7 linked regions of the Coturnix japonica genome follow. The protein of the gene in region 1 interacts with the protein of each later gene in a biochemical or structural test. Links are inferred from orthologs where the notes say so. Each region holds a gene or a part of one and is shown in the gene's direction. Other genes may lie near its edges.

What was found.
Region 2: of the proteins of LRRK2 (region 1) and ARHGEF7, one has a biochemical effect on the other in vitro, tested with the Homo sapiens proteins (2 studies listed by BioGRID and IntAct). The link is inferred for Coturnix japonica from reciprocal best matches to the Homo sapiens genes LRRK2 and ARHGEF7.
Region 3: of the proteins of LRRK2 (region 1) and RPS15, one has a biochemical effect on the other in vitro, tested with the Homo sapiens proteins (2 studies listed by IntAct). The link is inferred for Coturnix japonica from reciprocal best matches to the Homo sapiens genes LRRK2 and RPS15.
Region 4: the proteins of LRRK2 (region 1) and YWHAB interact on a protein array, tested with the Homo sapiens proteins (2 studies listed by BioGRID and IntAct, with this or other methods). The link is inferred for Coturnix japonica from reciprocal best matches to the Homo sapiens genes LRRK2 and YWHAB.
Region 5: of the proteins of LRRK2 (region 1) and SH3GL2, one has a biochemical effect on the other in vitro, tested with the Homo sapiens proteins (2 studies listed by BioGRID and IntAct). The link is inferred for Coturnix japonica from reciprocal best matches to the Homo sapiens genes LRRK2 and SH3GL2.
Region 6: the proteins of LRRK2 (region 1) and ECHS1 interact on a protein array, tested with the Homo sapiens proteins (2 studies listed by BioGRID and IntAct, with this or other methods). The link is inferred for Coturnix japonica from reciprocal best matches to the Homo sapiens genes LRRK2 and ECHS1.
Region 7: of the proteins of LRRK2 (region 1) and SYNJ1, one has a biochemical effect on the other in vitro, tested with the Homo sapiens proteins (2 studies listed by BioGRID). The link is inferred for Coturnix japonica from reciprocal best matches to the Homo sapiens genes LRRK2 and SYNJ1.

Annotation. Positions count from the first base shown.
Region 1 is NC_029516.1:13,471,402-13,474,901, reverse strand, and holds part of LRRK2 (leucine-rich repeat serine/threonine-protein kinase 2), read left to right. Parts: intron 1-883; coding exon 884-1,085; intron 1,086-1,676; coding exon 1,677-1,765; intron 1,766-2,494; coding exon 2,495-2,682; intron 2,683-3,398; coding exon 3,399-3,500. UniProt on the Homo sapiens protein: Serine/threonine-protein kinase which phosphorylates a broad range of proteins involved in multiple processes such as neuronal plasticity, innate immunity, autophagy, and vesicle trafficking.
Region 2 is NC_029516.1:125,581,325-125,584,824, forward strand, and holds part of ARHGEF7 (rho guanine nucleotide exchange factor 7), read left to right. Parts: intron 1-1,099; coding exon 1,100-1,238; intron 1,239-2,138; coding exon 2,139-2,198; intron 2,199-3,343; coding exon 3,344-3,490; intron 3,491-3,500. UniProt on the Homo sapiens protein: Acts as a RAC1 guanine nucleotide exchange factor (GEF) and can induce membrane ruffling. Functions in cell migration, attachment and cell spreading. Promotes targeting of RAC1 to focal adhesions. May function as a positive regulator of apoptosis.
Region 3 is NC_029543.1:2,248,272-2,251,607, forward strand, and holds RPS15 (40S ribosomal protein S15), read left to right. Parts: upstream 1-1,220; 5' UTR 1,221-1,317; coding exon 1,318-1,320; intron 1,321-1,623; coding exon 1,624-1,709; intron 1,710-2,192; coding exon 2,193-2,427; intron 2,428-2,701; coding exon 2,702-2,815; 3' UTR 2,816-2,836; downstream 2,837-3,336.
Region 4 is NC_029535.1:4,611,370-4,615,641, reverse strand, and holds the start of YWHAB (14-3-3 protein beta/alpha), read left to right. Parts: upstream 1-1,472; 5' UTR 1,473-1,608; intron 1,609-4,272. UniProt on the Homo sapiens protein: Adapter protein implicated in the regulation of a large spectrum of both general and specialized signaling pathways. Binds to a large number of partners, usually by recognition of a phosphoserine or phosphothreonine motif.
Region 5 is NC_029547.1:29,795,310-29,799,386, forward strand, and holds the end of SH3GL2 (endophilin-A1), read left to right. Parts: intron 1-2,087; coding exon 2,088-2,287; 3' UTR 2,288-3,577; downstream 3,578-4,077. UniProt on the Homo sapiens protein: Implicated in synaptic vesicle endocytosis. May recruit other proteins to membranes with high curvature. Required for BDNF-dependent dendrite outgrowth.
Region 6 is NC_029521.1:5,960,970-5,964,579, forward strand, and holds ECHS1 (enoyl-CoA hydratase, mitochondrial), read left to right. Parts: upstream 1-1,362; 5' UTR 1,363-1,388; coding exon 1,389-1,503; intron 1,504-1,675; coding exon 1,676-1,873; intron 1,874-1,960; coding exon 1,961-2,088; intron 2,089-2,161; coding exon 2,162-2,261; intron 2,262-2,340; coding exon 2,341-2,445; intron 2,446-2,515; coding exon 2,516-2,635; intron 2,636-2,716; coding exon 2,717-2,784; intron 2,785-2,859; coding exon 2,860-2,925; 3' UTR 2,926-3,110; downstream 3,111-3,610. UniProt on the Homo sapiens protein: Converts unsaturated trans-2-enoyl-CoA species ((2E)-enoyl-CoA) to the corresponding (3S)-3hydroxyacyl-CoA species through addition of a water molecule to the double bond.
Region 7 is NC_029516.1:94,512,719-94,516,863, reverse strand, and holds the start of SYNJ1 (synaptojanin-1), read left to right. Parts: upstream 1-1,345; 5' UTR 1,346-1,350; coding exon 1,351-1,439; intron 1,440-2,499; coding exon 2,500-2,645; intron 2,646-4,145. UniProt on the Homo sapiens protein: Phosphatase that acts on various phosphoinositides, including phosphatidylinositol 4-phosphate, phosphatidylinositol (4,5)-bisphosphate and phosphatidylinositol (3,4,5)-trisphosphate. Has a role in clathrin-mediated endocytosis.

The DNA of each region.
Region 1 (3,500 bases):
TTCCATAAATAATTTAGACACTTTGTGAAAGGAGGTACAAGGTGCCTGCCTAGAACTTCATCAAAAATGAATTAAGCATTAAACATGGCCCTCAAATGCTTTGAGTGTTCGAACTTCCATAAGAAAGTAATTACATTTCTGACACATAAAAATGCCACAATGCATTGGTATGTAACTTCTTCAAGAAACTAAGAAGCCAATTGGGAAAAAGACAATTGTTTCCCATTTCCCCTCACAAAACAACTTATTCAGCACCTGTAGGGAATAAAAAGCCTGACTGATTGCTTGCTAATACCAAAGGTCAAAGCAGGTGTCCAGGAAGGAACTCAGGCTACAGGAAACAAGAACAGAATCCTTGGCTGTGTCACTCTTCTTGCTAGATTTATTCTCTTCTGTTTTCCGCTGTCACCGCTGTGTCACCAGACTGTGGAGACTCTTTCGTAAGCAAATGCCCTTTTCCCCTTAACTTGTCTGGAGACATTACAGATTAGAAGGAATGTGATCTTAAAAATTCTTTTATTTATCTATTGTCCTCTGTTAACATGAGATGCACTATGTTCATACAGTGAATGTTGTCCTCTTACTTCTAATCAGAGCTTCTCTCTGTGACTTTTAGATGTCATTTTTTATTTTCCCATATATATGTAGTAAAGCAGTATTTTCTCCTATGCTTTTTCTTTTGCAGGAAAACATGCATACATTAATTCTGAAAGAATTAGTCCCATCTATTTTTCAGAAGCCACTTTAGTCAATAAGAGTGTTCTTATTCCTTGCTGCTGCTACAGTTGGGCTAATATACGCAGCTTACATCTGAGTTGCAATATTGTTTACACTTTATGTGGATAAATCAATACATTTAATATTATTATTCCTAATTGTGCAGATCAGAGATCAACCGGTGGTTGGCCAGCTAATTCCTGACAGCTATCTGGAGCTGGAGAAGAGAATTTTGCTGGAAAGAAAAAATGTCCCGGTTGAATTTCCTGTGATTGATCAGAAACGATTACTAGAAATGGTACAAGAAAACAAGTTACAACTGGATGAAAATGAGCTCCCTCATGCAATTCACTTTCTGAATGAATCAGGTAAAATATGATCTTCAGTGGATGTTTTATTTGCAATTTGTTGCAAATGTGCAGCAGATGAGACTTGTATGGATCAAGGTTTACCCATTGTGTTGAACTGAAATGCTGCCCGTGGGTAAAATATTGCAGTTTGATAATCCTCATCAAGAAATTTCATGATAAAAAGCATCACTCTTATAACATCTTATGTGTCTTGTCACTCCTGGGAAGTATCACCCTGCTTGTTAGGCTGCAAAGTGCCTGAAGAAAGATACAATTGTTGAGACAGCTTGAACAGAATGGCAGGTAACAGCTTGTATCAGCACTATACAGAATTAAATATGAAATAATTAACAACATAGAGCAAAACCGCTTCACCAAAAATGCCCAAGTCAGATAACAAACCTAACAAAACATCTGAAAATAGAGGTAAAGCTGAACAAACCGTGATTTTCTACTCTCTCAAGATACTGATGCAGATGCAATAACTGAATTTAGTGTTCAAACTGATTGTATCAAGTCACATAGGGAAGACAGCCCGGAGTGAGGTGGTTATGTTGCTTAATAGGGAGCATAAGGAATGTGTTGCTAATTACAGTGTGTTTTGTGCAGGTGTACTGCTTCATTTTCAGGACCCAGCACTACAGCTAAGAGATCTGTACTTCGTAGATCCTAAGTGGCTGTGTAAAATCATGGCACAGGTCAGTCTCTGATTATGTTTTATATCTACATTCATGAAACTTTTTCCCCTGTACCAAGCCACTGTCATTTACCAATGATTCTTTTTCACTATTTCTTTACAGTTTCATTATTTAGTATTTCTTTGTGTTTCAAATTACCCATTTCTTTCTGTTTTCTTTGCGTTCTAGACAGCTGCCTGTCTCAGTTATTCCTTTTCTTATGTAATGTGGAACATCATTTAATTGGCACCAGGCACAGGAATACCCATAGAGTAAAAAAACCTCAGGGATGCACACTTATCCCACAATATTGTGATAGGTGAAGAAAAAAGCAGAAGCTCTGTATTGAAGTAGTGATAATGGGTGAGGAATGGTCACTGTATGCTTGTACTAGTGATGTAGGAAAGTCAATGATACAGAATCCTGTATTAGGACAGAAAAGAAATGGCTTGTCTGCTTAAGTGAATTTGTACTTGATATCTTGATTTAGAAACGCCACTTTTTGATAAATATTCACATAACCTGACCTGAAAATTTACCTTTCATTCACTGAATGAAATGGAATGCAAAAATACAAGACTGTTGTCTCCTTGCTGGTTCACATTATGGAAGTCATTGGTTTCATTGTGACATGGAGTCTAATTTTCCTCACAAATAATAGACTACCAGATATTTCAGGGACAACATTAGTAAGGAAAATACGATGTAACGATGACTGTACGCCTCAAATTGTTTTCCTTTTTTTGAAAGATTTTGACTGTGAAAGTAGAAGGCTTTTCTAAGTATCCTAAGGGAATTGTTAAGCGCTCAGACGTGGAAAAATTCCTGTTAAAGAAGAGCAAGTTTCCTAAGGTCTACATGTCACAATACTTCAAACTTCTGGAGAAGTTTCAGATTGCTTTGCCATTAGGAGAGGACCAACTACTAATCCCAAGCAGGTAAGCAAAGACCCACAAATGTGCCATAGAGAGAGATCAAAATAAAAACCTCCCATCGGTCTTTCTAGCTTAACTCATCAACAGAGCAATTTGGCATTTGAAAGCGTATTATGTACTTATTATTTAGTAAATGCTTTCAGAGACATGTTAAATTGATCCTGTAGCAGATAAAGCTTTCATCTTTGAATAATAAAATGCTTTATGAGGAAAGTACTTCTTTAATAGTTACCGTGCTCCACAACAGGAAGATTATAATTTAGCCTCACATTATGGTCTGCTGACATTACAGATATTTATTGCAAGGTAAATTAAAACCATGATTTCTTATGACTTATTTGCTTGAAGTCAGAACCTGTGAAGGTATTCAGAGGCAGAATCTCTCCAAAACAGCACGGTGATTAAATGCAACCAAAAAGATGTTCTGAATGTGGCAGGTAATGGTTTCTCTACCTCAGGTGCAGATTTCACTAATGTGTTAAATAGTGCTTGTTTTTCTTAATGAAGAAATTATTTGTGAGGTTGTGATGAGTTTGGATTATAGCAGAAATTTACTTTATCACAAACAAACAGAATAAGACAATACACTGTCTGCGGCTGGATTCCTTGTGTTATTTGTTCATTAATGAATGCATTTTACATCGTTAAATAATGTATGCCATCAATAAGTTTGGATAAAGTACATCATTAAACAAGGTACAATATTTTTTTTCTTTCAGTTTGTCTGATCACAGACCTGTTATAGAGCTTCCTCACTGTGAAAATTCAGAAATTATCATCAGACTTTATGAGATGCCATACTTTCCTATGGGATTTTGGTC
Region 2 (3,500 bases), about 110 Mb from region 1:
ACTAGATCTTGTATTCAGACGTTTGTGTACTTCTGCAATGTGTGTTTTCTCAAGCCTGGGGATAAGCTCAGGTGCTGCTGTACCTTCCTTTCTGAAGGAGAAGGCTGATTTATTTTTTTACTTCTTTTTTTTTGTGTTTGGATGACCAGTAGCAACTTGTCCTCTACCTTATTTCTCTGAAATCTCTGCTGTATAAGGAAGCAGAGAACGTAGATAACGTAAGCTTCACTGATAGCAGAGTGAACTTTAATTCCATTAAAAGGTAGCAAAGCAACATGAGAATTTGTGTAACAACTGGAAGGGATGTGCTGCAAGTCAGTTGATCCAAATATGAAAAGCTATGGGTAGAGGAAATATCAATTCATGATGTTTGGAGAGTGTTGGTTTCTTGAACTAATGCTGATGTCAAGAAGTGTTATGTAATTATACCTACCTTGAAACTGTAGCTCATGAGGATAGACTGCATGCCAGTACCTGATATCATCTACCATTTGTGTGGCTGCTGATTAATTAATCAAATGACCAAAATTGCACTAGAACCTTGGATGTGTGATAGGTCATGAAACACTGAAATGTGTTAGGAAGAAGGTTCTTACTCTCTGCTTTCACATTAGTGTTTGCTGCATTAAAAACAGCAGTGTTTGATTCAGCACTTGATTCAGTATAGAGCCATTTACTAGCTTATGCCTGGCCATTATGTACATAAACCACTTCTAAGTTCAGATGTCGTTTTCTTAGAATAAAGAGGTAAGTAATGAAATACTGTGCAAATGGCTTTATTCTTCAACTTTTCCTTGAGTGTAGTGACGTTTAAGAGCTATCTCTGAGCATCAGTCCCCTAGAATGGTGAGTGAAATCCTATCTCTGCCTCCTGAATGTATGGTGGAACCCAGATTGATAGATGTCTCTGCGTTAAGCAAGAACAAAATGATGACATCTCTTAAGTTGTACTTAAATTCTTGAATTATTCTTTTTTAATTAATTGGAATTAACCTTTTATTGGCAGAATTCATGGCGTGTGAATGACTGAAGAATCTAATTTAACTTTAATATTCTTAGTAACTTGATCTTACTTTGCTTAAATATCTTGTGTGTGCAGTGAGGAGCTAGGAGAATTCATGGAGGTGAAAGGTGCCAACAGCCCTGGGATCCTTGTCCTGACCACAGGCCTCAGCAAACCTTTTATGCGTCTGGATAAATACCCCACGTTACTCAAAGAGCTTGAAAGGCACATGGAGGTATATCTTATCAGCATTTATGTTCCAGCTTAATGATGATTTGACATCAGTTATTTTAAAGGTACATGTCAAACATGATGGGACCCCAAATTACCTTTGTTTCCTTTTTCTTCAGCCTTCCAAGATATGGGCTGCAATATTTCAGAAGGTGGTGCAATAAGACTTCCTGAGAAAGCTAAATGTTTACAGTAGAGCTAGACAGAGAAGCCAACCTTCACCCCTAGAAGAGTCTTGCAGACTTGATGTTTGTGTTTTGTTTTTGGGTTTTTTTGGTCTACTGTACACACAACTTGAGGCAACTTTATCTTGTAGGAGTTTTGCTTTTCATGTTAGGATTTCAACCTGTTGGATGCATCATCTTGACTTCTACTGAACACTGTCCAGAAATGATCTTTCCACCGTGGGAAGATGTTTGAAGATCAACTGTCTCTGCATTTTCATCTTATAGGCTAGATTTCTTAGCTGTGAAGGAGAAAGAGAACTAGAAACTGTACTCTGAGTCACATGGTTTGTCAGTCAATGACAGCCTGACATTTTGTATCTAGGGAGTGTGATGTATTTACAATGAAAGACAACAAGCCAAATAAAACCCTTAAAAATATGCACTTTGTATTAGGAGTTCAAGTTGGTAAGCAATTTTATGTGTCCAGAAGGACATGTAAAATTTCCTTGACACTTTTTTAAGCAAAAGAGTCAACTACAACATTCCTATTTCACTTTTACCAAGAGGAAGACCACCAGTATGTTGAATTGGAAGGTTATGGAAAGAGAACAGATAGGTCTAACAGCTTTTATTTTATTGGATTGTTGATTTGCTTTTAGTTAAGCCTCTAAGCATTTTTATTATTATTTTTACTAAAACTGATTTTTTTTACTATGTTTTTTTTCCCTTGCTTTTAGGATTACCATCCAGATCGTCCAGATATTCAAAAATCCATGACAGCCTTCAAAAACCTTTCTGTAAGAGGAATGAAAAATAGATCATGTATATTTTCAGCATCATGTTTTCTGGTTTAATCCCTGTTGGTTTTAAAATGTGAAACTTTTTTGTACACACCTGTATAAGAAAATTTGCTGAAAGTTCTGGGACTCTGGAGATTAATGTAGTTTGTGGGCAGGGCTAAGAACTGCACCTTGTTGGGGAGTTACAGCAAATAGGCTCTTATTTGTGCTTCATTTTCCTTTCTGTTTGCACTTGTGACCTAAAGAAGGGCCACAACATTTGAGTGTATTTCTGAGATTGTACAAAGGTGCATTCATTCTAGGGGAATTGTGCTGGAGCTGGGGGAGAAGTGATAGTGCAGATAGTGCAAATGAGGATGGGAATATGGGATCTTTAAATAATCAAGATAATAAGCCTGTTTTGGACAGATGAGTTGATATTGCTGTTTAAAGGACAATAGATCTTAATTCTGAAGAATACAACTATTAAATTTAAGAAGTACAACTGCAACAGATGTATTTCTTGCATTCTCAATTACAGTAAACTTTTGTGTTTCCTGTTAGCAATGGAGGCACTTCCCGTTTTTTACATTTTAAAGCAGAAATTTTACTGTGGTCTGTGTTCAGAAAAGGCTGGAGGATCTGTGAGTCTGAGCACTTCACAAATGAAAGGAAACACTTCTTGAGGGAAAAGCAAGTGGGATAAGTTGGGAGTACAGTTAGTGAAATAGATTGGCAGGAAGTGTAACAGAAATAGGAGCAGAAGGTTGTGTGTACTCTGTTTGCACAATTGACGAGTCTCTTGTAATTCAAGTATATTTTGCGTGTAGCTATATGTATTCAAGACAGCTGCATTACTTCTTCCTGCTTGGCCTAGATGTTTTTTGTCACAAGTATAAAAATGGAAAGGGTAATTTAAAAAACAAGGATGTGACTACCAATTTCTAATTGAAGTTAGTCTATTAAAGAAAGAAATACTATTAAGTTAGACTAGTTTTATGGGAAATACTGGTAGTAGCAATATATGAAAATGCTGCAAATGTAGGTACTGTCTTCTGTGTACTACAATGACAATGGTAAATATATAGTGGTATTTCTACCCTCAACCTGTTCTGTGTTGGTAGAGTTGATACAAAAGAATATTTTTGCCTCTTATTTGTTAGGCACAATGTCAAGAAGTACGAAAACGGAAAGAACTTGAACTACAAATACTAACAGAAGCAATTCGCTGTTGGGAGGGAGAAGATATTAAAACACTTGGCAATGTGATTTACATGTCCCAGGTCATGATTCAGTGCGCTGGAAGTGAGGTAATGTACT
Region 3 (3,336 bases), on another chromosome or scaffold:
TGGAAGACAAAGGTGGTTTTTTTTTGATGGGGGGGGGGATATAAGGGAGGGGGGGGGGGGGGAAGGCGGCTTCTGAAGGCAAAGCTGTGGGTGTTCGGACTGCAGTTTTTAACTCTTTTTTTTTTTCTTTTTTTTTTTCCCCCTTTTCTTTAAACCCATCAGCACAAAATAAAGCAAATGTCACTGGTTCAAACTTAACAGGGTTTTAAAAATGTCTTCAGCTTTAATTCCAAACTTCAGGTTTTGGGTTAATTTTTTTTTTTTTTTGGGTTTATTTTTTTCCTGAGCCTTTTTTTTTTTTTTTTTTTTGACCGTATATTGTAAACTTTTATGTTGAAAAAGATAAAAAAAAAAAACCATAAAAAAAAATAATTATATATATTATACATTTACAGATTGTGAGAATTTTTAAGAGAAATTTTCTACTATGTATGCTGGCTTTATTTTTTAATTTAAAATAACAGGGTTTTTTTCCCATTGGGAAGCAGAAGGGTTGAGCTGCAGCTCCCTCAATGCTGACGGATGGGGTCAGAGAGGAACTCGGGGGAGTTAAGAGATGAAATCTACTGAGCGTTGCTTTGCTTTTTGCATCTGTTATCGACCCAATGGGGCTTTTTAGGGGCTGAATGGATGAGAGGCAGGTTTGGTTGCAGGCTTTGTTGGTGCACGGAGTCACTTAATGGAGCGAGGCCTTGAGCTTCAATCCTCTCTATGGGATCCTGTGTTGGGTTTTTGCATTCAGGATTTGGGGTTTGAACCGAGGCCTTGTGTGAAGATGTAGATTTAACCCTCAGGCAAAAAAAAAAAGGTTTTCGAGGTGCGTCCTGCGCTGACCAGCTGTCAGCCCTGGTTTGAATAAAGACAAGTACATTTGGATTAGAAACACAAGCCTGTCTCCATTTTATTTTTAATTATTTTAATTACGAGCTTTCTTATGGATCCATGAGGAATCGATTGGGCTGCAGCCATTGTATGAGGAGCTGCATGGCACTGCTGGGCTTATATAGACACCAAAGGGCTGCATTGGCTGCCACCTGCATTGGACTGAGCTCAGACACGGCTGCAGCTGCCCTGTGTGCAGTCAGACTCCCCGCTGAGTCCTGCAGTGTGATAACGGGGGGGTTCCAGCTTATCACTGATAACAATCCCTTATCTCTGATTAACAATCCCTATCTCTGGATTTTTCGGGCGCGGCCCCTTTAAGAGCACTAAGGGCGGAAGTGCTGCGCGGGGCGGGCATTGGTTCCACTTCCGGCCGCAGTCGCTCTCGCGAGATCTCTCACTTCCGGCTTCCCTTTCCTCGCAGAGCAGGCGAAGATGGTGGGTGCGGGCCGGGGGGGGCGGCGGTTCTAATCGGGCTCCATCCGCAGCCGGTGCGGCCTCCAGGGGCTCCGCTGCGGCCGAGGGAGATGCGGCATCTTCCCTACGGGGGGATGGAGGGCGGAGGGCGGGCGGTCCTTGCAGCATGGAGGAGATGGAGCCCGGAGGAGTTAAGGCCGGGAGGAGATGGGGCCTTGAAGGCCGCCAGGCCCCGGGTGCTGATGGAGGCGGCGGTGTTTGAGGCCAACATGGCGGCCGTGTGCTTCTAACGGCCGCGTCCCTTCCACCCCATCCCGGCTACAGGCTGAAGTGGAGCAGAAAAAGAAGCGAACTTTCCGCAAGTTCACATACAGGGGAGTGGACCTGGACCAGCTGCTCGACATGTCATAGTGAGTGCGGGGGGAAGGGGGCCTCGCTGGGACCAATGAGGCCTCAATGGGTCCAATGGAGGCCTAGGTGGGTCCAGTGAGGCTTCGGTGGGTCTATTGAAGCTTCGCTGGGTCCAATGAGGCCTCGCTGGGTCCAGTGAGGCTTCGGTGGGTCCAATGGAGGCCTCGGTGGGTCTAATAGGGGCCTCACTGGGTCCAATGGAGGCCTTGCTGGGTCCATTGAGGCCTAGGTGGGTCCAATGAGGCCTCGGTTGGTCCAATGAGGCCTCACTAGGTCCAATGGGGGCCTCGCTGGGTCCAATGAGGCTTCAGTGGGTCCATTGAGGCTTCGGTGGGTCCAATGAAGCCTCAGTGGGTCCATTGGAGGCGTCAGTGGGTCCAGTGAGGCCTCGCTGGGTCCAATGAGGCCTCGCTGGGTCCAGTGGAGGCCTCGGTGGGCAGCACCGTCAGGCCTTGCAGCCTCAACGCGTCCGTCCCTTGTAGTGAGCAGCTGATGCAGCTCTATAGCGCCCGTCAGCGCCGCCGCCTGAACCGGGGGCTGCGCCGAAAGCAGCACTCCCTGCTGAAGCGCCTTCGTAAGGCTAAAAAGGAAGCGCCTCCCATGGAGAAACCCGAAGTGGTGAAGACCCACCTGCGTGATATGATCATCCTCCCCGAGATGGTGGGCAGCATGGTGGGCGTCTACAACGGCAAGACCTTCAACCAGGTGGAGATCAAGGTGAGCTTCGTGTAACCCCTTTAACGGGGGTGGGGGGAATCTGAGCTGTTTCTAGGTGTGGAATAACACGGTGCCACCCGATAGCGCTGCCTGTATTGAATGGCATTGTCTATGAGGGTTTTGTTTGCGGTGTTAAAGGTGACTTAAAGCACAGTGAGCAGATCCTGCTGGGTGAGCTGTGCTCTGTGCTGTGCTTTGTTAGCAGGGCTGCCCCCCACCCCCCTATTAAACCCCCTTTCACCCCCTTTAACCCCTGTTTCTCCTTCACTTCCAGCCCGAGATGATCGGTCACTACCTGGGCGAGTTCTCCATCACCTACAAGCCGGTGAAGCACGGCCGGCCCGGGATCGGTGCCACCCATTCCTCCAGGTTCATCCCATTGAAATAAACCAGAGCTTTGGGAAACGGCTTCTGTGTGTCAATAAAGAAGCTCCTCCCTGTCTCTAATCCTGGGGCTGGGGGGGGGATCTCAGTGAATCCATCATTTCCATGTGGGCAGGGCTGGCTCAGGGTGGGTCCATCCTGCTTTATTTGAGCTTATATTCTGGTTCTTTTTGGTGAGCACAGCCTTTTAAATGGATTTATTAATGGATTTATTAAGGTTAATGATATCGCACAGTCTTTGTTGGATAGGGCTGAGTGGTTTTACATACATAGGGCTGCTTCAAACCATACCTAAAGAGTCACAAGGTTGGAATTAAGGCACCTTATGGGGCACAGACAGCTATGGGGTGACCCCAATTGGCTGCTCTTGTCCTAACTATGGGATGACAAAGGCTTTGAGCTTCTATTGGCTTCAATGGGAGGTGGTCCCGTCGTCCATTCATTGCAGCCCAAAGGAGCTGGGGGTCGCCCCTTAAAGGGTCTGTGGACCCCGGGGTGGGGATGGAGCCCCCCCAGCCTCCAACC
Region 4 (4,272 bases), on another chromosome or scaffold:
TTCAGACCATCAAAATCAAATAGGTGTTTGACTACATATATTTATGATGTTGGCCCATGCTGTCAGAAGTGGACGTTGGTGGTATGGCATTTTGCTGCCATATGACAGATGGCAGCAGAGGGGCAATCGGAGCGAATGGAAGATGCGTATGAAGTGCGTATGAAGCAAAGACGTGTCACTGAGTTCCTCCATGTGGAAAAAATGCCCCCCTGTTGGTATGTAGTGACACTTGCTGAACGTTTATGGACAGCAAACATTGGCTGTGAGCACAGTGAGGCGGTGGGTGGTGTGTTTCAGTAGTGCTGACAGCAGGTCTTCTTTGCTGGTGCAGTTTGTTACAAGTACGGCATGCATGCCAAAAGGTTGGACACCCATGTCATAGCAGGTGCCTTAAACCAGCATCCTAATTCCATTCAGCATCATCCCCTGCCACCTCAGTTAGCTTCAAGGATTCTTTCTGAGGTGTGATACAAAACACAGTGGTGTTTAAAAATATCACAGTGTTCAGAGTAGCAGTACCTCCATTTTTCTGTACTTTGCCATGATCTGCACAGTCCAGATGATGTTTGAGCTTGATGACAGAACTGCTGACAGTATATACAGACATTTCCCTATTAGAAAATACCTGAACATCACAGGGGGAATTTAAAATGAGTTTTCAAGTCAGACTATTGCAAGAAATGGGAATACTGTTGCTTTAATAGTTCCCCAGCCAGTTCTTTCTTGCTTTTAGGGTCATAAAAGGCTGCTGCAGACCTGACTGTGATCCTTCTTCCAGTAGCTTTTCACTGTCGCAGAATCCCTTCCTACAACGGCAGGGGCTGGAATTACCAAGATTGAATGTAATTATGTGCTGTTGTTTTCTATCCCCCTTGCATTAAAAGACACACAAATTGTGATCAGTGACCTGTGTGACTCAGCTCTGGAACAACTGGAAGGCCCAGCCTGTGGATGCAGAACACAGAGGGGAAAGAAAAAAAGAGTAAGAGAACCAAAAAATACAAGTCCTTTAGTAGATTACGATGATATTTTGAATGCTTTATTTCAGTACCACAGTGTAGCTCCATCCCTTTCTCTTTGGGTGACACTTTGGGCAGCATCTCGCACACAGCGATGGTGCACTGCCATCAGCTGTTTGCTCCTGGGATCTACCTCAGCTCAGAGAGAAATAAAACAAACGAACAAAAAAAAAAATAAATCACAAAAGCTGAGCGGCCCAAGACTTTATTCCTTAAATAAAACTCTCAGTCCATGCAACAACCACCGCAGGGCCTGGCCCGGGCCGTCCCTCTGGTTGCAGCAGTTGATACGGATCTCTGGGATCCGTCGCTTTATTCACCCCGCTCCATCCCGCCCCGCCGCCATTTTCCGTCTCCTCAGGGCGGAGCCCATAGCAACCGCCAGCCGGATGGCGCCCGCCGGGCAGCGTCCAATCAGGAGGCGGCGCTGCCCCCCTCCCTCCCCCCGGCGCCGGAAGGGGCGTGTCCTGGAGGCCGGAAGCGGGGCCGCAGCTCCGCAGGGTGTGTGTGTGCGTGCGCCCAGCGGCCGCCGCGCTCCGTTCGCTTCTTCCGTCGGGATCCAGCCGCGCTCCGCGCCGCCCCCCGCCAGGTGAGGGTCTGCGGCCGCCCGCCCCTCGCTCGAGGCCGGGCCGCGACGCCGCGGTCCCGCTGGAGCCCGGGGAGCGGGCAGGGGAGGCCTGCAGCTCCCGACCCGCCGCCTGGGGGGAGGTGGAGGCCGCGGCGGGAGGGCCCCGCGCCGTGCGGAACCGGCCGCGCCGCTTCGTCCCCACCCGATCGCCGAGTAACGGTGCGACCCTCCCGCGGGGGCGGACGCTGCGGGGCGGCTTCTGGCCCGGCCACACCCGCCTGAGTCACCGCGCTCCGCGGGGCGAGGCCGCGCACACCTGGACCGAGCCGCGGGCCCGCGCCCTCTGTCGCCGCCCGTGAAGGGCTCGGCCCGGGCGGGGGGAGGAGGCGATCCGCCCCCAGGGCAGGGCCCGGCACGGCTGGCGGCCCCCTCCATCTCCTCCTCCTCCTCCTCCTCCTCCTCCTCCCGAGGGCTCCTCCCTTCACGACCCTCTCCATGCTCCGGGCCTTCTCGCGGCGCTCACAAAGCCCGGAGCTCTTACGAGGCGCCTGCTGTAGGGCCCATCCGTGTGAGCCCGCTCAGGTTTAGGAGAGGTGATGAGATGAAACGTCTGCGGTGCTTCAGAAGATGTTACACCGATGGTGTTATTTTTAATCTTAAATTATTCTTATCTGGGGATAGAGATGAGTTTAGGGAGGACTGCAAAGCTGACTTCACGCTATCCCCAATATATAAGAAGGTTGGGTTAGTCACCTAGAACTAACAACTTTAGGCCTTTATGAGGTATGTATAATTAGATATTAATTGGAATGATAACAAGTGGGATGCAGTCGCTATGTTAGCACGTAGGGCAAAAATGTATCTCATGCTGCCATTGCAGTATCATTCAGTTACTTAGTTAAATTCCTTGCCAACCGTTAAAATAACTTTATGGGGTAGGAAGAAAAACTGTTTATCACTCAGGGTTGTAGAAGCAGAAGAATACAAAAGAATTTTAAGGTTGTGTAGCATTCCTGGTTATGGGAATACTTGTGTCTTCACACATGCGCTGCTGCAGGACCTCAGGCAGAAGTTGTAGTACTTGTATTTAAAGAGTAGCTTGCATTGTTTGAAGGCAATATGGAGATGCAAATCGGTCTAGAAAAGGAAAGAAAAGAACGTGAGTGTTTTCTTCACTCTTGATATTAAAAACCTGCAAAAATATAGTTTATGTAATAGTTGGTTTATTAAATTGGTACCAGTGGAGTGGTAGACTCAGTGCACAGATGGGCCCGGTGCAGTTTTCTCAACCTCATTATGTCAGTACTGCATGTTCTGATCTCTGCTATTTTGATAGAGTCCTTTTTTTTTGTAAGCAGCCCTTTGCTGGTATGCAGCTTTTTGTGCTGTATGTGAATAAACTCCAATAAGGAGGAGTTAAGTCAATAGTTATTTGAATAACGGGATGAGAAGCTTGTACTGCAGCCTGTCTGGTGTCCTCATAAATCCCAGCAGGACTAGGCCTTATTTTAATGGCTTTTATATGACCACACTTTTTGCTCTACGCTGTAATATAAATGTTTTCAGATTGTTATTAACAAGTGATTTACCTGTGATACAGATACATTCGTTTGTCATTAATTTTATGCCTGGGGGGAGATTTTTTGTGGGATAACTCGACTATTTGCACTTGGACTCGGGCTAAAGGCGCATTCACTGGAACAAGGTGTTACCACGTAAGTATGTTGTACTTTGGAACCACGTGCTTGTCTCCACCCGCAGCTGTCCTGCGTGAAGTGCCATAGGTATGGAGCAGTGCAATGCTTCTCAGCCTCCAGTTCCTCATCAGAAGTCAATAGGGACAGTAAGGCTGCGGTCACTAAACTCAACTTGTCCATACAGTGTCAGTTTCCATCCCTGCTCTTGTTACTTCTGATAGAAGATCCCATGGTTATTTGCAGAGATTGAAAGCCTTTGTACCATTTTTCCAAATGATAGGGAAAATCAGTTTGAGGAAAGAGCAATTAATGGTGGCAGAAAGCTGCCCAGCAAATTGAGGCATGACTTTATAGAATGTTAATGTGATCTTAACGTTTGCGGAATGATTAGCACCGAAGGCCGGGATGTATTTCTAATCAGCAGGTACAGAGGAGGTTGGTGTTGTGTGCTGCACAAGGTCAGTGAGAATATCACAGCTGTGAAACCCATTTTTCTTTTCCCTTCCTTAAACATGCAGTATATTGTACTGAACTTTTGTCATAGCCAAGCTCAGGGTGGCTGCAGAAGACTTCAGTGTTGTGATTGTATCAGACGTCCATTTTCTGATCAGTTTTTCAACAATAGATGGTTGCCTTGGAGGGAACTGAAATAGAGAGACACAACGAAGTGAAATGGCTGAGGTAAAGCAAAGAAGGTTCATCGCACTCCATTTATGGAAGGGCAATTCCTTTCATGCAGAAAATACTGACCGAGCGATGCCCGCTTGATGGTGGCTGCCATCAGTATCACACAGGTTCTGCCAGCATTGTAGCTCTGCTGTCAGCGTGTGTGCACCTGAATGATGGCTTTGCCATTTGTTTCAGGAATAAAAGCTGTTAGTCTCAATAATTACAGAAATAGAATGGAACGTACCTCACAGACATGTTTAATTTTGTAATTCATTGCCTATCCACAAACCTGTAAGGTACATCCATGTGTTGGTAGTTG
Region 5 (4,077 bases), on another chromosome or scaffold:
AAAGCATAGTACAGAATTTTTCGTAAAACACTAATTTCTTCAGGCAGAAAAACATAGATGGATCATCCATTTTTGGGTCAAAAATGTCCTTAGTGCTAGAGCTATAAAGACTTGCTGCCATACTGAACTCCTCTTGAAATACAGATCATAGAACAGGCATTTAGAAAACTCAGAGATCGACTGCAGGTTTTCAATGAAATACAGAACTCTGCAACACTGAAAATCTCAGTAATCCCCAAACCCTACTTTTTAAAAAACAGGCATTATGGTACGTATGACTTGAAATTAAATATCACTAAAACCAGAAACAGCGGCAAATGAGGTATGATGTCTGTTCAATGGTGAGCAGCATAAACAAGGTGAAACATTTACATGACTGTACATCATTAGTATCTTCAAGATGTATTTTATTTCCTATCAGCATGTACTATGAAAGCTTTATCTTTTGTTCATCACAGTAACAGTCTGCTAATATGTATTATCATGACAGTTGTCCTCTTCCCAGACCCTGACCTCAACTATTCCAACTGACCTCAATGACAATGGCTTGCACACTCTATGTTGCAAGATTAAATGCTTTTCACTGGATCAGATTTTCTTCCTTCTCATAGTATCCCAGTGTGAATGTTTAAAATTCTCCCAGATATATGCGGCAACCTTATCTTTGTTTGGCAAGTGGAAATGGTCTTGTAAACTAGGAATTTTGTGATTATGCACACAAAGAATGGGGGTTAAATTGGGGATTCCTTGTGCACGAGTGTAGCTTCAGTCCTGTACAGTAAAAATCTCCATGTCACACCACCACAATTTCCTTCTTCACTCATATTTTTGTGGTGTTGTGAACACTTCTTTGTGATGAGATTGTACAAACTGATATTCCTGTCTCTCTCAGAGAGCAATATGTAACATTTTCGTCAGTAGGAGTTCTTTCTTTTGAGGGGCTCATTATTTTTACAGAAACATCTTCTTTTAAAATTCCTTAATGTAGATTTGTGTTAATTCATTCAAAGATTTCCTCTTTTCACTAAATCCTGCTCTACTGACATCTATAGAAAAGGAATATTCTTATCCTAAAATAGCTCAAGCATGGATCTTCTAGCTATGGGGAGCAGTTCAAATGAATATTTAAAAAGTCTGAATGTGAAATCAGTTCATCCTGGAACTGGTACATGTAAAAAAGCTGAAACAAACATATTCCCAGAATTGGCACGATTTAGATGCATGTGTCATTTCATTCTGACCAGTAGAAGTGCACAGACATTAACAACGGAAAATCAGATAGGGATATAAGTTTAATAAATGCTGATAAATCTTAAATATTTTGACTATGAACTGCTTTTGGTAGGCTTAACTCTATAGAATCTTTGGGGATTGAGGGAAGGATATGAGCACAAGGAGGAAATAATATTTCTAGATTTCATATGACCAATTAAAATCTAATCTAATAATTATAATAATACCCATTAACCATGCTAAATGATTTATGGTTAGATATTCATGAAATATCATATTAGAAAGATTTCCATTTCAGACTGTGCCAAAACAATTCTGATGCTGATCTAATCATCAGTTGTTTCATGGGAATAAGAAGGTTTTCTTTGGAAAGCTTGTACAAAAATTCATGAGGTCAGGAGCATATAGGACAGTTTACACAATAGTTGTACCAATGAAGATTTCAAATAAAGACACAGTTTTATTTTCATTGCTGTTTTAAGATATCATTTTGCTATTTCCTTGAGACACAGGCAAAGCATTTCTGTGCCAGTAAAACTGGAACTATGTTTGGGCTTTTGCTTCATTTTTTGTGTTTTGTAAACAGATAAAAATTAGATCCCAGACTGGTAGTAGTTATTCTTTTAAGTGTAGGCTTGAATGTAATTTAGATCTTTTAGTATTCTCAATTTCCAAAAGTTGCTAACTATCTTCTAATACAGTTTAGCTGCCTAGATTTAGATGCTGTCAGAGGACTGCCATCGCCATATGAAATACACGGGAAACAGCAAAATTTAAATGAAGTAAAAAGTTTAAAATGATAGCATAACTGCTGAGATTTTAAAATGTTATTTCTTTCTCTTTCTTATCCATAGGTGCTCACATGGATCAGCCATGCTGCCGAGCTCTGTATGACTTTGAACCAGAAAATGAAGGAGAGCTGGGATTTAAAGAGGGTGATATCATTACCCTCACTAACCAGATTGATGAAAACTGGTATGAAGGGATGCTTCATGGCCAGTCAGGATTCTTCCCCATCAATTATGTCGATATTCTAGTTCCTTTACCCAATTAAGATAGCTGATCCACCACCTCTGTTCCAGATAGTAATGTCAGTACCACTGCTTTCAAAATGCTGCTTCTTACACCTTACAAGTGCAAACTGCAGTGGTTAGAATCGTCAAGTCCCACTGAGCATCTTTGGTTTATGTGTTGTCATACTGCGTAGTGGTGATGCGTGGTATCTTCTGAGCCAACATAGTGTGGGTTAGACCACTTGGCCACACTGACCTCGTGGTAACCAGAGTACTGCTGAGATGATGTTGGGAAGATGATGGCAAGCCAAACAGGTGACTCATGGTGAAGTAGCAGGAAGTGAAGGTGGTACTGGGAAGATAATGCCTATCACCACTGTATTACTTTTCAGTCTTAGTTCTTTGTAAAAAGAGGGAAAAGTTCTTGCCATTCCATCTTTCCCTTCCTGATGATACAGTTCACATGAGTCTAACCATGACTAACAAGAATTGTATCTTCTGACCAAAATGGCTTGCTATTCTCACAGAGACGGTATAAATATAGACGCTCTGGTTTCTCAGAAAGCGAACCACTGTACTGCGTGCCCTTCTGGTCTCTGCTCATTTTTGTATTTTTGATTGTTATTAAAAGACCTATTTCCATCTGTAGGTAAACTTCGAACCATAAAAAGGGGATTCCTATAGTAAAGAGCTTGAACCACAAACTACATGAATTTGCCCTTCATAAACTTTGAGCATGCTCAATAAAATGCCGGTAGAAGGGCAAGATGGGGGATAAAACTGTTATTAGTGTTAACTGTTTGTTGTCAAGTTTTGGCACAAAATCATGCTGCTTAAGCACCAGATAGTCTTTTTAAACTCATTCACTGTGGAGGAAAACCAACCAAAATACTATCTTCCCTGCTTTTATTTCTGTCTACCATGTGTTCTTCGAACATCATTTGTGTGTATTCTGCCCTCAATGAGGACTAAATAAAACTTATTTCTTTTTGTGTTGAGCAATTAAAGACATGTGGCTGTATATGCAAAAACATTTCCCCATATGTTTAGTTCACTCTTTTTTTTTCCTCCTTACTGCACTTGGTGTGTACAGTGCTGTGCCTAGCTTCTCAGCCTTCTTTCAGATGCAAAAGTTCTGTTAGTTTAGTAATCCAGAGTTCTATTTATGTAAACTATAGAGACTCTCTTTCAGAAGTTTAATGTGCTGCTTTGAACGTGCCACTTCAGTACTGGATGATGTGAAATGATGACAATTCCCTACTGCTTAATATATAAACTGTATCATGGAATATTGATATTTCAAATAAATGCTGAGAGAATAACTGGAATAATTTTGTGAATTATTATTTTATTCTTTAAAAATCTCTTGTGCTTAACTTTGACTAACAAGAATTTTGTTTTGGAAAATGTGTTTCTCAAGCCTGACTTGAAAATGTGAAAAAAAAAAAGATTTTTATATTGTTGCATGGCTTCTCTGAATTGAAACCCATATATGTAAAATGATCTTCATAAATAGGGTAGGCTGAACATCAAGCACATAAAGTTAATGTCATTATGACCAGCATGCAGTCTTGTGGAGACAGGATAGTTCCTGTTCAAGTATGCTGTGTTTCGAAAAAAAAAACACCAAGTAATGCTTAGACATACTTGTAATAGTATTTTGAGGGTTTTATATTAGAGTTACATAGGGTTTATATTCTTTGTTGTACAGATATGATCATGGGTTAGCCTTGACAAAGAACCAGGCACCTACCCAACGGCTTGCTCTTGGTCTCTTCTCAGTGGGTAGGGAGGAAAAATGGGAAGAGAAAGCTTGTGAGCCAAGATAAAT
Region 6 (3,610 bases), on another chromosome or scaffold:
CCCTTGCTTGGGCCACATCCATCCACACGCAGCGTCGCCCAGCTTTATTTCCACGTCACTGTCGAATCGCTGAGGAACCCAGTGGGCGCCATCAGTGGTGCAGGATGGCAGCGAGGGGACAGAACCAGGGCACGGCCCAGCCCCATTCCATCCGTCCCGGTGCCGCCGACGTCCAGGCCGTCCCGTTGCCCTCGTGGTACTCCATCTCTGCCCGGGCCTGGTGCAGTGCAGCTCCAGCCGCCGCCCCAGCTGCCGCCGCCGCCGCAGCCACACGCAGAGCCCCGCCGTAGCGTGGCAGGCCCCTGTGGCGGCTGCGGGCAGCCCCCCGTGCCATGCCGCGTGCAGCCCCCCGGGAGCCCCCACGCCCGCCCTTGGAGGCAGCTGGCTGGCAGAAGGTGGCAGCAAGCAGCAGCAGCACCCAGCAGCAGGCCACGCGCCGCCTCATCCCGCCGACCTGCACACAGGGGGGCTGTGCTGTGGGCAGGTGCCCACCTCACTGCGTGCACACACGTATGTGGGGTGTGAGCAGTCACATCGTGCATGGGCTGCAGACGTCACGTGCACCAACACGGGCTGTACAGGTACGCGGGCAGCAACGAGGTCTCCTTATGCCTTGCACATGCACCTGTGTGTGGGATGCATGGTCACAGCCTGCATGTGTTGTGCTACATGCACCAACACGGGGACTACACGTGTGCCACATTCACAACACGCATGTAGATTGCACTGACACATGGATTACACGCGTCACATGCACCACAATGTGTGTTACATTCCCCGGCACATGAGGTGCACAAGCACATGGTCTGCACGTCTGCCCTATATGCCAACACACACGTTACATATGTTGCATAATACACGGACCACACATGTATGTTGTATGCACTGATACATGTATTACACACACTGATACATGGACGGCACGTGTGTCACACACTTCAACACACGTGCCACATGCACTGACACCGGGTTGCACAGACAAGTGTGATGCTGTCCGTCCCGCTCACACGTGCCGCATCCCGCTGCACGCATTGCACGTCCGCACGCACCCCGCGCTGTGCGCAGCCCCTGCACACCCGTGCACAACCCAACGCACCTCACGGCACAGCTGCCCCCGCCGCCTCCCGCTCCCACGTCCCGCGTGGGCTGGTCTCGTCCCCGCCGTGCAGCCCCGGTTCACGCTCCTGCTCCGCTCCCGTCCGCTCCGCGCTGTGGGCACGGGGCCGCGCGCCCGCGGGCGACGTGAAGCGCGGACACGCGTGTGGAGCGGCGGGGCGGGTCCCGCGTGTGCCAATGGCCGATCCGCAGTGCGGGGCGCGGCACAGCGCGGCGATGGGCGCGGGGCGGAGCGAGGCCGCGGGGAGGGCGGGCAGTGTCCGCGCAGAGACATGGCGGCCCCGCTGCGCGCCCTGCTCGGCTCCGCTGTTTGCGCCGGTACCGCGCGGCACCGCGCGCTGCTGAACGCACTGCGCCCCCACGTGGCGGGGCGGGGGTACAGCCACGGTGAGCGGGGGGAGACGGGACGGGGGAGCTGCGGGGCGGGGGGCACCGGGAGCCGGGGACGGGCAGCGGGAGCGGGCCGCGGTCAGAACAGCGGCACCGAGCGGGGGAACCGGGAGCCGGCACCGCCCGGCGCGGACACACGGGTGAAGGTCGGCCCGCAATGGCCGCGCAGGGGCCCCGTTCCGCTTCGTGCAGGTGCAGAAGGTCGGGACGGGCGGCAGCGTGGGGCTCATCCGGCTGCACCGGCCCGAGGCGCTGAACGCGCTGTGTGCGGGGCTGATGGAGGAGCTGGGGCGGGCGCTGGACGCCTTCGAGGCCGACGGGCAGGTGGGAGCTGTTGTCATCACCGGCAGTGAGAAGGCGTTTGCAGGTACGGCTCCGGCACCCCGCGGTCCCACCGCCCCACCTCCGCATCCCCACGCAGCCCTTTGGTGACCCCGTGCCTTCCCCCCTGCAGCCGGCGCTGACATTAAAGAGATGCAGAACAAAACCTTCCAGGAGTGCTATGGCAGCGGCTTCCTGGCGGGCTGGGACCGGGTGGCCACTGTCCGCAAGCCCACCATCGCTGCCGTTAATGGCTTCGCCGTGAGTGCCCCTTCCGTGTCCCCATGTCCCCGTATCTGTGCTGCCGCTGTGCCATAACCCGTTGTGCTTGCAGCTGGGTGGCGGCTGTGAACTGGCCATGATGTGCGACATCATCTATGCTGGGGAGAAGGCACAGTTTGGGCAGCCTGAGATCCTGCTGGGGACAATCCCAGGTGAGCGTGGGGGCTGTGTGTCCCCGGTGGGCTGGTGACGGCCACGTGCCTGCTCCCAAACCCAACACCCCATCCCCAGGTGCTGGGGGGACGCAGAGGCTGACCAGGGCGGTGGGCAAATCACTGGCCATGGAGATGGTTCTGACTGGGGAGCGGATCTCAGCAGCGGAGGCCAAGGTGGCAGGTAGGTAGGGGTGTGGGTGAGGCTGGGGGCACAATGGGGGTCCCCATATCACCTCCCTGCTTGCCCCCAGGTCTGGTCAGCAAAGTCTTTCCCCCGGACAAGCTGGTGGATGCAGCCATTGGCTGCGCTGAGAAGATCGCTGCCAACTCCAAGCTGGTGGTAGCTATGGCCAAGGAGTCTGTCAATGCTGGTACGGGGTGAACTCAGGGATTTGGGGTCCAGATTGAACAGTGTTCCCATCTCCTCATCCCTATCTTTTCTCCATCTCCAGCTTTCGAAACAACACTGACAGAGGGGAACAGGACGGAGAAGCGCCTCTTCTATGCCACTTTTGCCACCGTGAGTACAGGGCTGGCCCTGGACACACAGGGAGAGTGGGGCTGTGGGCCGCCCCAACCCATTCTCTGCCACCAGGACGACCGCAAGGAGGGGATGACTGCGTTTGTGGAGAAGCGCAAGGCCAAATTCACTGACAGCTGAGCTGCAGAACCTGCGGACACTGATTGCCCTTGTCTGCCCTTTACCACCCATGTGCCTCAAAACGAAGGATGGGCCCATTGGCACTGCAGAGGGAGCCAGCGCTTGGCATGGAATGATGCCCACACTGGACATGATCCCCAGTAGGGTTTTGGCTCGTTACTGCTATTAAAAGGCTTTCCTGGTGCTGCTGGTGCATCATCATTGTTGTTAGGAGCCTCCACATTGAAAAGCACTGGAGATGGCTGAGAGCCTTTAAAAGAGCCAGGCCTTCCCATGGGCTGAATGGGAGCTGGGGTGACTGGCTGAGTCCCCTGGCCTGCTGGACCCCCCTGTTCCTGTCAGAAACCAAGCACCCACCTGCTGCTCAACAAGGAGAGGTTTATTGGGGGCTCATGGTGGGGGCAGGGCTGCAGCCTCCCTTAGCTGTGGTACAGGTGGTCACGGTCCTCTGAGGGACCATTTTCCACCTCTGCCGACAGAACCATGCGTGCTCTGTGGAACTGGGGTTCAGGCTCCACCTCAGCCCTGTCCGAAGGGTGATAGAGATGGTCACGGTCCTGCTCTGGCCCCACCTGGACCCGAGCAGGGTCTGGAAGGAACAGAGGCCGTGAAGCAGTGTCCTTGGCAAGCCTGGCTTTCTCCACTGCCTGTGGAGCCTGGATGCTGTAAGAGAAGCAGAGGTGGC
Region 7 (4,145 bases), about 81 Mb from region 1:
TCATCGCAGACAGAGTCCTCACTAACGCCTACAACAATAAACACACTTAATAATCCAAGAGCCGACCACTTAAGTCTCTGCTCCAAACCATGAGGTAAGTTTGTTTTTCTTCATATATGTGACCTGTCCCATTGACTCCACTTTTGTGCTTCATGCACATATTTAAATGTCTAAGGTAGTCAGGCATTGGAATGCACTGCCCAGGGAGGTGGTGGAGTCACCGACCATGGGAGTGTTCAATAAACATGTGGATGTTGTGTTGATGAATATGGTTTAGCCGGGAAGTATTGGTAATGGTTGAACTATATGATCTTCTAGGTCTTTTCCAACCTTGATAATTCTGTAATTCTGTGATTCTGTTTTCATAACAGAAATGTATCATATAACAGATGTATCTCCAAGACTCAGTGTGATATTTTTCATACATATGTAAACCCATCTTTTCATAGCCTAAATTTCAACAAAGCTCTCGAGCACTGTCTTATTTTCTGCCTTAAGATTTTAGTGACACCTTGCCAAGTACCTCTGGCATTTCCTCTTGTTCAGCTCCACGCAGTCAGTGACTGCCCAGCCCTCCCATTTGTCAAGGTCTCTCTGTAAGACCTCCCTACCTTCAAGAGAGTCAGCTTAATGGGCAGGGGTACTACTTCACAGAATCACAGAATTGTAGGGGTTGGAAGGGACCTCTAGAGATCATCGAGTCCAACCCCCCTGCCAAAGCAGGCTCCCTACACCACGTCACACAGGTAGGCGTCCAGGCGGGTCTTGAATATCTCCAGAGAAGGAGACTCCACCACCTCCCTGGGCAGCCTGTTCCAGTGCTCCGTCACCCTCACTGTAAAGAAGTTCTTCCGCACATTCGTGCGGAACTTCCTATGCTGTACTTTCATCCCATTACCCCTAGTCCTGTCCCCACGCACTACTGAAAAGAGACCAGCCTCGCCACTATGGCTCCCACACCTCAGGTATTTATAAACCTGGATCAAGTCCCCTCTCAGCCTTCTTTTCTCAAGGCTAAACAGACCCAGTTCCCTAAGTCTCTCCTCATAGGGGAGATGCTCCAGGCCCTTCACCATCTTAGTGGCCCTCCGCTGGACTCTTTCCAAGAGATCCCTGTCTTTTTTGTACTGGGGAGCCCAGAACTGGACACAATATTCCAGATGAGGCAGAGCAGAGGGGGAGGAGAGGGGGAGGATCACCTCCTTCAACCTGCTGGATACTTGTCCCTAAGGGCTCGGCTCCAGCCCCGTCCTGACACACATCCCCCTCCTCACCGCCCCAAGGTAGCACGGCCATAACATCCACCATGGCTCCGCCGCCTCCCCGTGCCTTCCGGTGGCGGGCGGCGCAATGCGGAAGGGACGGAGGGGCCGGAGCGGAAGTGAGGTGCCGCCGGCTCCCGCGGCAGGGAGCGCAGCGGGCGGCAGCTGTGGCGGCCGGTGAGGAGCTGCGGGGCCGGTATTGGGGCGGGTCGGCGGCACCGCGGGCGGCTGTCGGTACGGGAGGAGCCCGCTCGGCTGTCGCCGTGGCGGGTGTCGGGCTGCGGGGGCGCCGCGGGCGCCAGACAAGATGGAGGCTCTGTCAGCGCCGCGGGCGCCGGGCAGGTGGAGGGGCGGGGGCTGCTCGACCGGTGCCGGCTCCTTGGCCGGCCGCTCCTGCCTGTGTCGTATGAGGGGGCGGAAGGTCGGTGCCGCTGTCAGCCCTCAGGTTACCGGCGTGGGGCTGCGGGAATGGAGCATGTTCGCTGCTTTCTAGCCGCTCCTCTATGCTCTGTGCATTCCTTCAGCCCCTGATATATCGGTGGGCTGCTGGTGTTTTGTGGTTTGGTATTGCTTTTTTTCATTGCTCCGAAGGAAGGTGTTACCTTTATGGCTTGTCAGCGGTCTCTCTCGTGCGGTGCTGCGATTTTCTAATCGTCAGCCGCTGCGAGGGAGGGCTTAAGTCCAGACGGAGCTCCGCGTTCGTTTATAAAGAGAAACCAAGCAGTAGGTTATCGTCTCTGTATGTTATTCCAAAGCCTCTTAGCAGCTTTACTGTTTGAAATGTAGTGTCCTTTTATACAAGGTCAGCATGAGCAAAAGGCATCGTAAAACTGAAGCTCCTGGCCCTCTGTGTTCAGCAGAAGGTTGCTGCTGCTCTAATGTGTTTGTGGCGACTAAAGGAGAACCTCATCTCCAGTTTCTCTGAGTCTGGTTTAGGTATTGCAAAAGAAATTCTGGTTGTTCTGGAGGAGATCTTAAATAAATCCTTTGTGCTGCTCTGGGCAATTATGTTTTTGCAATGCTGGCATGTTGTCTTTAAGCTATCTTTAGATATATTTGTTTTGAAACATAAAGTAAATCTCATGAACTAGAAAGAGTGAGCATCTCTTTTCTTCTTTTTCTCTTTTTTGTTGTTAGATCTGTAAAATTCTTAGGAAAGAATGGAAGTCAGACCTGTTCTGCAGAAGGTATCTGGAAGCACAGGAAGCTCTCACTAACATCATCTTGTGTTGGACAGGACTGCCAGCGATAAAGGCAAAATGGCTTTCAGTAAAGGATATCGTGTCTATCACAAGCTGGATCCGCTCCCGTTCAGCGTGATAGTGGAAGCCAGAAACAGAGAAGAATGTCTCATGTTTGAATCTGGAGCCGTGGCTGTCCTCTGTAAGTCACTATGTTTTGATAAATACAATGAAAAAACTGGCAACCTTGACGTTGTGGAAGCTGTTTTTATTTATGACAGATAAGGAAGAAGCAGCAATTCTGGTTTTTATTTGCTAATGGAGATCCTTTTGATTTAAATGGAAGAAATGTTTCGTATCTTTATCTGTTGGAAAGAGAATTTTACACATTTAATTAGATTTTCATCATGAATATGTATTGCCATGTATACAAAATATTCTTCCAATATCTGCCAGCGTCTGCTTATCTTTGGTTCTGAGCAATCGTCTGCCTTTGAGTACACAATGACTCATTAAAAAGCAAAATCTGTGGTGCACTTATTACAAAGTGCTGTATTCTTAAATGGTGCATCATCTTAGTTTGTTTATCTCACTTTGTATTATGACTTAGATGGGTTTTTTTTTTGTTTTTAAATCTATGTTGCACCTGTGTTTTTAACCTATCACCATACATTGTGTGTTAGATCATCTCATAATAAAGTCAGTCAATGTTTTGAGCAAGATGTCTTGTATTGCATAGTCATTTTTATGTGCTTTCAGTGCTAAATGCATCAAATGCTTGTGTTTTTTCAAGTCAGAGTCGAAGGAGGGCTCTAAAACAGGAAGTGCAGAAAAGATCCTTTAAACCTACAGACAGGGTCTAAAAATATACTTTGGTTTGTATTCTTCAGTACAAAGGCCTGAGCACCAGGTTGCCAAGAGTTCCTAGGCTTCTTCTGGGCAACCTGATCTAGTAAATGTGTATGTTTGGTGGCCCTGCCAGGCAGGGGGGTTGGAACTACATGACCCTTGAGGTCCCTTCCAACCCGGGTCATTCTGTGATTCTGTGATTCTTGAATCTTGTGGAAAGCTTGAGTACTGTGGATGTACTTCTTTTGAATGGATCAATTTTTGTTGAAAATTGGTGCCCAGTGTGAGGTTGTAATGCATTGCCTGCAGCCTTACAGGGCTCACAGGTGGGTTGTTGTCTCCCCGTAGGGTGCTCTGGCCCAGATAGGGTAGAGTGGGCTGAGCCGGCAACATGTTCCCTCCTACAGCAAGGCTGAAGGTTAGAAGTGGGAGTTCTGAAGTGGGATTGGAGATGCATTCCCTACCCTACCTTTGGTATCTGTAATTGTTTGTATGCCTGATGCACTCCTTAGCTGTGGCATTGCCTCTTTGTGAGGCACCTGGCTGACCCTGTATCCTGCAAGTTAAGTGCTTAGAAATCAGGCCATAGTTTGTGCTGAACCGGCTGTGTGAGCTAGTGCTCTCTTGCCTGTGTCTCAATCTGTACCTTAGTTAATGTGATATTTGGAGCTGCTATGATCCGATACAGGTCTAGCCATGGGACTTGCTAGCACAGTTGACATTACAAATGAAATTAACTCACAGTTATCAATGTCAAAAACTGTGAGTGCTTTCTTCCCATTTTTTGATATTTGTTTTTATCTGTTACAGTTTCTTCTTAATATTTGTGTAACTTATCTTGTTGACTTTGCCA